Nothobranchius furzeri: one gene and its partner. Each later gene encodes a partner of the first gene's protein in a complex. Links are inferred from orthologs where the notes say so. Each region holds a gene or a part of one and is shown on either strand. Other genes may lie near its edges.

What was found.
Region 2: wrap53 (region 1) and dkc1 share a complex: the UniProt entries of both Homo sapiens proteins name them as parts of the telomerase holoenzyme complex. The link is inferred for Nothobranchius furzeri from reciprocal best matches to the Homo sapiens genes WRAP53 and DKC1.

The regions. Positions count from the first base shown.
Region 1 is NC_091742.1:83,817,679-83,822,022, reverse strand, and holds the start of wrap53 (telomerase Cajal body protein 1), read left to right. Parts: upstream 1-1,390; 5' UTR 1,391-1,602; intron 1,603-2,125; exon of another isoform or gene 2,126-2,233; 5' UTR 2,234-2,273; coding exon 2,274-2,514; intron 2,515-2,600; coding exon 2,601-2,772; intron 2,773-4,344. UniProt on the Homo sapiens protein: RNA chaperone that plays a key role in telomere maintenance and RNA localization to Cajal bodies. Specifically recognizes and binds the Cajal body box (CAB box) present in both small Cajal body RNAs (scaRNAs) and telomerase RNA template component (TERC).
Region 2 is NC_091758.1:16,260,440-16,263,489, reverse strand, and holds part of dkc1 (H/ACA ribonucleoprotein complex subunit DKC1), read left to right. Parts: exon of another isoform or gene 1-76; intron 77-805; exon of another isoform or gene 806-1,057; intron 1,058-1,788; coding exon 1,789-1,880; intron 1,881-1,950; coding exon 1,951-2,135; intron 2,136-2,348; coding exon 2,349-2,413; intron 2,414-2,484; coding exon 2,485-2,611; intron 2,612-2,688; coding exon 2,689-2,819; intron 2,820-3,050.

The DNA of each region.
Region 1 (4,344 bases):
ATTTGTTTGTTCAACATGCCTTATTTTGTATAGTTAAGTCTCGAATGGCTAACTGAAAATGTTCTCAACAATGAGTGTTAGTTGGAAACCACCTTGTTAACTGTTTTCTGTTGGCTTAAAGAGCTGCGATGCATAAACCTCATCCATCCACTCACCTTTAGTTCTACACACACAGAGCAGGAAGTGTTGACTTTCTTTTTTTTTTAAATCTTTTTGCTGGTGGTAGGCTTTTGTTTTCACTAAAATGGAGAGTGAATTTGTTCAGATTTAGGTGATTTTTGATGGTGCAGGCTCAAAAAGAGCTGGAGTCTGTGCAGTGGAGCTGAGCTGATCGGGGCAAATTGGTGTCTAATTAGGATCCTAGTTAAAAAGGCAGTTGGGGTAAATAAGTTTCCTTTTTGTTTAACACTCCAGAAGATTTGGTAAGAGATGCATATATTGTCCTATAAGGACAAGCTTTATATATTAATCACATGAATTTTGACAGATTAATTGGGTGGTGAACATCTTCAATAGCACTGAATAGGAGTTAACCAGTCCATTGTGTAAGCCTGAACTATGTTTGTCAAATTACATTTTAAAAAAAGGGTTTTTTGGTCACGTATTAGGTTTTTGTGACATTTATAGCCACACAATTGGCTGTTTCTACCACCTATTAACCTTCTAATAAATGCCCATGGAGGTCAAACTCATCCCAGCAAGACTTTGGTACGCCGCGACACTTTGAGATTATAAACAAATCTTGGACAAGCTTTTAACTATGCAATAAAGTCTAATTTGCCTACAAACCCCTGTTTTTAAGCTGAATATGTGAGCTTAATCATTGCTCAGTCTGCTTTTCTATTTTACTGCACTACAAAGGCTTTTATTATCACGTTCACTAGTTTCTGGTTCAAACACAACTCACTGATTGGTGCACGGGTGGATATGAATTTGCAGAATGGTTTGATGATAATTTTACTCCGGTCAGCTCAGCTCCTCTCTAACAAGTCTGTAATTGTTGTTGGATATAACAGCATACTTTATATTTGATGAAACTGTTTCAGAGAAGAACAACAGAGCTGTGTAAATAGTTTGACTCATGTTTGAAGAACAAAATAAATACTAAATAAACCACATTTATCTGTCAGAACTGTTTATTTAAAGATTTAATTCTTGCGAAATATTTGCATATCAAAATGTATGAAAAAAAATGTTAGAGGAAAAAGTCAGATTTTTTGTCTTGTTTATTTTATTTTTTGAATGTCATTTAGTTTATTAAAACGTATCACATTCACATTAGGTGTTCCTAACATCCGTAAAACAACTAAATTGAGCGTTTTCTTAAGCGAATATAGTCTAAACATGATTCATTCTCCTTTAGGAAGTCCACTAATTATGTAACCTGCTCTAGCAACGTTCTAAAACGGAAGTCTCGCGATACTTTAGGACACATGGCCGCCTACGGTGTTTACAACTTCTCGCAATGAGCTGCTGAACTGACAACTAAGTTATCTACCTCTGAGACCTCGTCTAGTTTTGTAGAATTTGTTTTCGTCTAAAATTAAAAACCGCTGAGTGGAAAACAGCGAAGCATCAACGCTCAGGCGAAGCACAACGCAGGTAGGTAGCAACAACCCGTTAGCTCGGTCAATGCTAACCTGAGCAAACACAGTGTAGCGGTCTCTGTTAGTGGTCCAAAACGTGACTCAAAGGTGTTTTTACTTTATTTACATGAATGTTGTGGACTTGAAGTTAAATAGACGACGGCTGTTGTAACAAGTTGTCGGGTTTGCTAAAAATGAACACGAAGGCTCGTTAAAGTAGCTACAGGTGTTGGAACATCCGTGTTTATGCCTCTTTAATTTTATAATTATTATAATTAAGGTGCACTAATGATGAAACTTTGTATAAAAGTTAAAACTTAAAATTTAAGTAGTTGTAGTCGTCACAAACTTCACATACGTTCAACCCGACCTTTCCATGCATTTTGCTATAGTAACAGATTACGTTTCTAAAATGTTAGCTGGTCTTTTAAAGTTAAAATAATTGTATAAAAAATAGCCTTTCTCACGCTCTTATTTTGAAATGGTCAGTTTTCTAGAATCTGGTCTGGAATCACAATCCTGTTACCTGTTTATCTCAGGTGGGTGATGTCATCAAACCCCGACAGACTCAATCGTCCACACTGCAGGAAGAAGCACTATCCTAGTAGCACCTACCTCACCCACGTCTGACAGCACTCTCCCAGCAGGACAAAAAGACACCAGACAGAGGAGGACAGAGACACAGCCATGTCTGACTCAGCCGGAGGTGGGGAGGGTGGAGGCCTGGCGGGTGCAGACTCTGAAGCAGACAGCGAGCCCCCTCCACAGGCCTCACTGAGACGTTGTGAGTCTGTAGAAGTCGGAGAGACTTCAGAGGAGGGGTTCCCACCTTCTGCCAAACGGTCCAGGAGGAGTGAGGAGGAGCTGGGACAAGATGCGGTCCCATCACAAGGTGGTGTGTTAGAAAACCCTGCTGCATCTGCACAAAGTAAAGTCCTGTTCATATGAAGTTATACACATTAGAGTTGAAACTTACATATATCATTTATATAGTTTCTTCTGTTCTGTTTAAAGCAACAATAGAACAAAGGTGTGAGGAGGAAGAGGGGGCTGAGGAAGACGTGGCAGCAGGTCATCTGAATGGAGCCAAAGCTCCTGATGATGCAGAGGAAACTGAGACAAAACCAGAAGAGGAGGAGGCGCTCAACGAGAATGAATCTGTAGGCAGCCCTGCTGCAGGACAGCAGTGAGTTCAAATAATGTTTTATTTTTCTGTTTTCTTAAAGCGAGGGTAACGATACAGCAGACTAGGGCTGAAACGATTCCTCGAGTACCTCGAATAATTGGAGTACAAAAATCCTCGAGTCAAATTCTCTGCCTCGAGGCTTCGTTTCATTCATGTTTAATTAATTCATGGCTTTGCAATCGCCCGGGGTCATGTTTCACCCAGACCGAAATAAGTGACGCACATACATACTGCACTGAATGCACACGCGAGTAGCGGACGCTACTGAACTTTCTTTTAAGCCATGGCGAACAACGTGGACCCCGGTGGAGTGCGAAAAAGACAGAAAATGTCAAAGGTGTGGGACCATTTTTCACGTCGTAAGGCGGAAAACGTACTCTAGTTTAAAAACTGTAAAATGGATTTAGCCTACCACAACACCACATCCTCGATGCTGCAGCACCTGACCAGGAAACATCCACATGTAAATGTCACTTCTGCAAGCGGACTCGGAGCCTCTACAAGATAATGCATTTTAGCCTGTATTTCTATATATTCTGCAGACACTGTGACTTTTTCGTTTGTAGCACTCAGTTTCAGCTCACACCGTGCGTCTGGTAGCAACACGTCGGTCTTAAAATGTGCTAAAAATAGCAGTTTTTACAACACGTCGGACTTTTTATTGTGTTGTTATTGATGTCCGTTGTCCCTCAGGATTGCTGCAGGAGGACACGGGTATTTATGAGTGGCGGAGGAAAACGAAAGAAAGTAAATAAATGTTTTGTGAACAGTATAATTTGACATAACAACGGCAAACATGCTTTCGACAATCCTTGTTATTGTGTGAGACAAAAAAGTGTAGAAATTAAAACGGACGGGTGTTAATAGGGAAACAGCTGGCGAGCCATGTTTGCGCATGCGCCGTGAGCGGTTCTGGTTCTGTTTGGGCCGCAGCCGCTCTCATTTGTTTACAGTTGAAGTGCTGAAGTTTTGAAAACTAAATTTGAATAAAACTTGAAGAATAACTGGCAATTGCGGGCTCATTTTAAGAGGTCTTTCATATTTTATAACATGCTGTTTGATATAATGGTTTACAAACGCAAAAGGGTAATTTATTAGAGTACTCGATTAATCGATAAAATATTCGATAGAGTACTCGATTACAAAAATATTCGATAGCTGCAGGGCCCTACAGCAGACCCCAAAAGGTTAGATAAAAACATTTGACTGGAAAAAGCTCACAAAATGTCTGAGAGAAATAATTAAATTGGTCGTTCAAGAAAATATTTCAGAATTATGTTATTTTTTTAAGCAAATCTAATAAAAATGTGTTTTTAAGCAGAATTTTGAAGTTAGTGTTTTTGTTTTTAACAGGGTATCTGCAGGTCCTTAAAAAGTCTTAAATTTGCTTTTCTACATTTAAGGCCTTAAAAATCCTTAAAAATGACAAATAATCCTTAAATACAGTTTCCAAAGGTCTTAAATTACCAAAGACCCAATGAACAGGAATTTCTAGTTAGTCTTCAGCATTTTTTGTGTATGATGTTGGCGTAAGCGGAACCGTACACATTCAGTTGGTTGTGAAAGGGGGCC
Region 2 (3,050 bases), on another chromosome or scaffold:
ACATTTGAGACGAAAACGTGGGGGCTGAGGAAGAGCACCGCGGTCAAGTGAGCCGTCATTTGGAAGAGCCAGCCCGGTAAGTAACAGAAAATAAACAAGCTGGACTTAGTGTTTTAGCTGAGTTCGTTATAGTGGATGTTAAACATGTTTTTTTGTCGCGTCAGTCTACGGTGTTCTACTTCTGATTGACTAGATGCAATCGTGAATCTCCTCCGTGTTGTGAATCATGCGCTTGCCAAATTCAGCACGTCTGTTTATAAGAATGTTCTAGTTAAGAGAAAAACGGCACAAACCCATAACTATGTTCCTCATTCAAAAAAGGACAACTCTGCGGTGAAAAATATACAGACGAGCTGTGTCCAGGTGAATATAACGCGGCATAGTTGTACGCTTTCAATTTTTAAATACAGGAGAAATTCAGAAAAAGTCATTTTTTTACTATTAAAAGGCTGTTTTACTGTCTAACGCTGTAAAACGCCTCACAACACATTTTTATCATGTTTCTTAAACAGTATTACACAAAATAAACATTTTTCACATTTTTCTAGCTAATTTAAACACTCCCGACTCAAAGTAAAAACCTCATGAGCTTCTTACTTAGAGCTTTTTAATAGTAAAAAAATTAGACTTTTTTTCTTAATATCTCCTGTTGCGGCCTATTTTGTAGAACGTAACCCTCAAAATAAATGATCACTGTATATTGTTAATTAATACAAATAATTTAACATTGATTTAGTGTTGTAGTGTGTGTGCTGCTTTATTTTATATGTGTACTTATTTCAGTCTATTTGTGTTTCTTATGCAGAAAAAAACAAGCAACGATGGACAACTACATGGGGAACAAGACACTCACCCCCCAGCAATTCATACCACTTACAAACTCTATTCTAAACATGCTGGTAAAAGACATGAGGCCACTATCCATGGTGGAAGGAGCAGGCTTCCAGCTAATGCTAAAAAATTATTCTGGACTGATATTTTGCACTGTTTAGCTCATTTTATACTGCTGACTGTGTTCATGTGCAATAAAATAGATTGCAGTCAACTGCACAATTCTCTTATGTTTTTTTTTTCTTAACTGAAATGCATCCATCACTTGTATAGGTTAAATAGCTAAACAGTAACAAACCGATTAATCGAAAAAATAATCGACAGATTAATCGATTATGAAAATAATCGTTAGTTGCAGCCCTAGTCTTGTCAAATGCACCGCGTACGTTATGAAAAAAGTTACTTTAAATATTCAACCGAAAAAGAGGCGAGCTGAAGAAAACCTAGAGTGCACTGAAGAAAGGTGAGCAACAGTGAAGCAATCAGAGAGATCCGTTACTGTGTGTGGATGGGCCGGACGGACTGAGCTCCCTGCAGACTTATGTGTAGGGAGGGGCGGGCACTCTATGTGAATGGCCAATCACAGAGCATGAAGACAGTCAGTTACCCAATGAGGATTTTCCTTCAGCACACTTAGATATTTACGAGTTTAATGCTCGTATTCGTCAAAAATGCTTTATCCGTACCGGATACTCGTCTGAAATGAGTATCCGGCTCATCCCTAGCTGTAACCTCCCTGCCCTGCCACCTCCTCCTTGCTGCCTGTCGGCTGTGATCACAAGCAACGGAGTAGTTCCCGCTGCTTCTTCGGGAAACGGCGCAAAAAAAAAAAATTTAACTTGGGATCTTGTAGGCGTGGCGCTGGGATTTCAGCTGTGGCAAGCCGCCACAGCTACACCTATGTAAGGGAAACTCTGCAGACCCACTAGCTGAGGTGGTTTGTTTTGCTTCTTGCAGAATCTCCATAAGCTGAACATCCTTACATCTCATTACACCCCCATACCCAGTGGCAGCAACCCGCTGAAAAGAAACATCAGCGACTATGTCAGGTACTTTCACTAGATCACAGCTCTGACTGAGCTCTATCTACAGTGGTGACCATGCATCTCCTCTCATCAGGTCTGGATTCATCAACCTGGACAAACCAGCCAACCCTTCGTCTCATGAGGTGGTGGCGTGGATCCGGAGGATCCTGCGAGTGGAGAAGACGGGCCACAGCGGGACTCTAGACCCAAAGGTCACTGGCTGCCTCATCGTCTGCATTGACCGAGCCACCAGACTAGTGAAGTCCCAGCAGAGTGCTGGTGAGTGCCCAATGCATTAACCCCAAAAGCTTTAAGAAGTGGGCAAACATTTATTAGCTAATGTACATGCTGTGTGCATGTCAGTAGCCACTGGTGGACTCAAATCTTTTGAATATGTGGCCTACATCCAACAGGAAGTCATCCATTTAGGGTCAAAGATGCCATTTGCAACTTGTTGGTTGTATAAAAACAAAAAGCTTCTGTGTGTTACAGGTAAGGAGTATGTGGGAATCGTTCGGCTGCACAACGCAGTAGAGAGTGAACACGTGCTGGCCCGGGTAAGTCACACCCTGTATTTGCTGCCTTTCCTCTGACCTGACCAGCTGATGGTCCTGAATGTCCTCTGCAGGCCCTGGAGACCTTGACCGGAGCTCTATTCCAGCGTCCTCCCCTCATCGCTGCAGTGAAACGTCAGCTGAGAGTCCGAACCATCTACGAGAGCAAGCTGATCGAGTACGACCCAGAGCGGAGGCTGGGTGAGACACTCATTTTGACGCCGAGGTCATGAAGTTTGATGCTCTTCTGCTTTAAATCATGTTTTTCTTCTGAACAGGCATCTTCTGGGTCAGCTGTGAAGCAGGAACTTACATCAGGACTTTGTGTGTCCACCTGGGACTTTTACTTGGAGTTGGAGGACAGATGCAGGAATTGAGGAGGGTCCGGTCTGGAGTTCTGGGCGAGAAGGTCAGTGTGTGTCCACGTGCATCTTGCTGTTGTGATGGTTTATTGTATCACAGCTGGTTAAGTGATCGCAGTAGGAACCACGTTCAGTTCTCTAGTCCAAAGTGTTGAGTCCAGCTCTGCTGCTTAGTGCCGAGCTGTTAATTAGACTTTGGAAGAGTAAGCGCAGCGGAGCAACGATGGGCGTGCATGTCCGCCTGTTGAGACTCGGTGCTGCTAACATAACATCTGCTT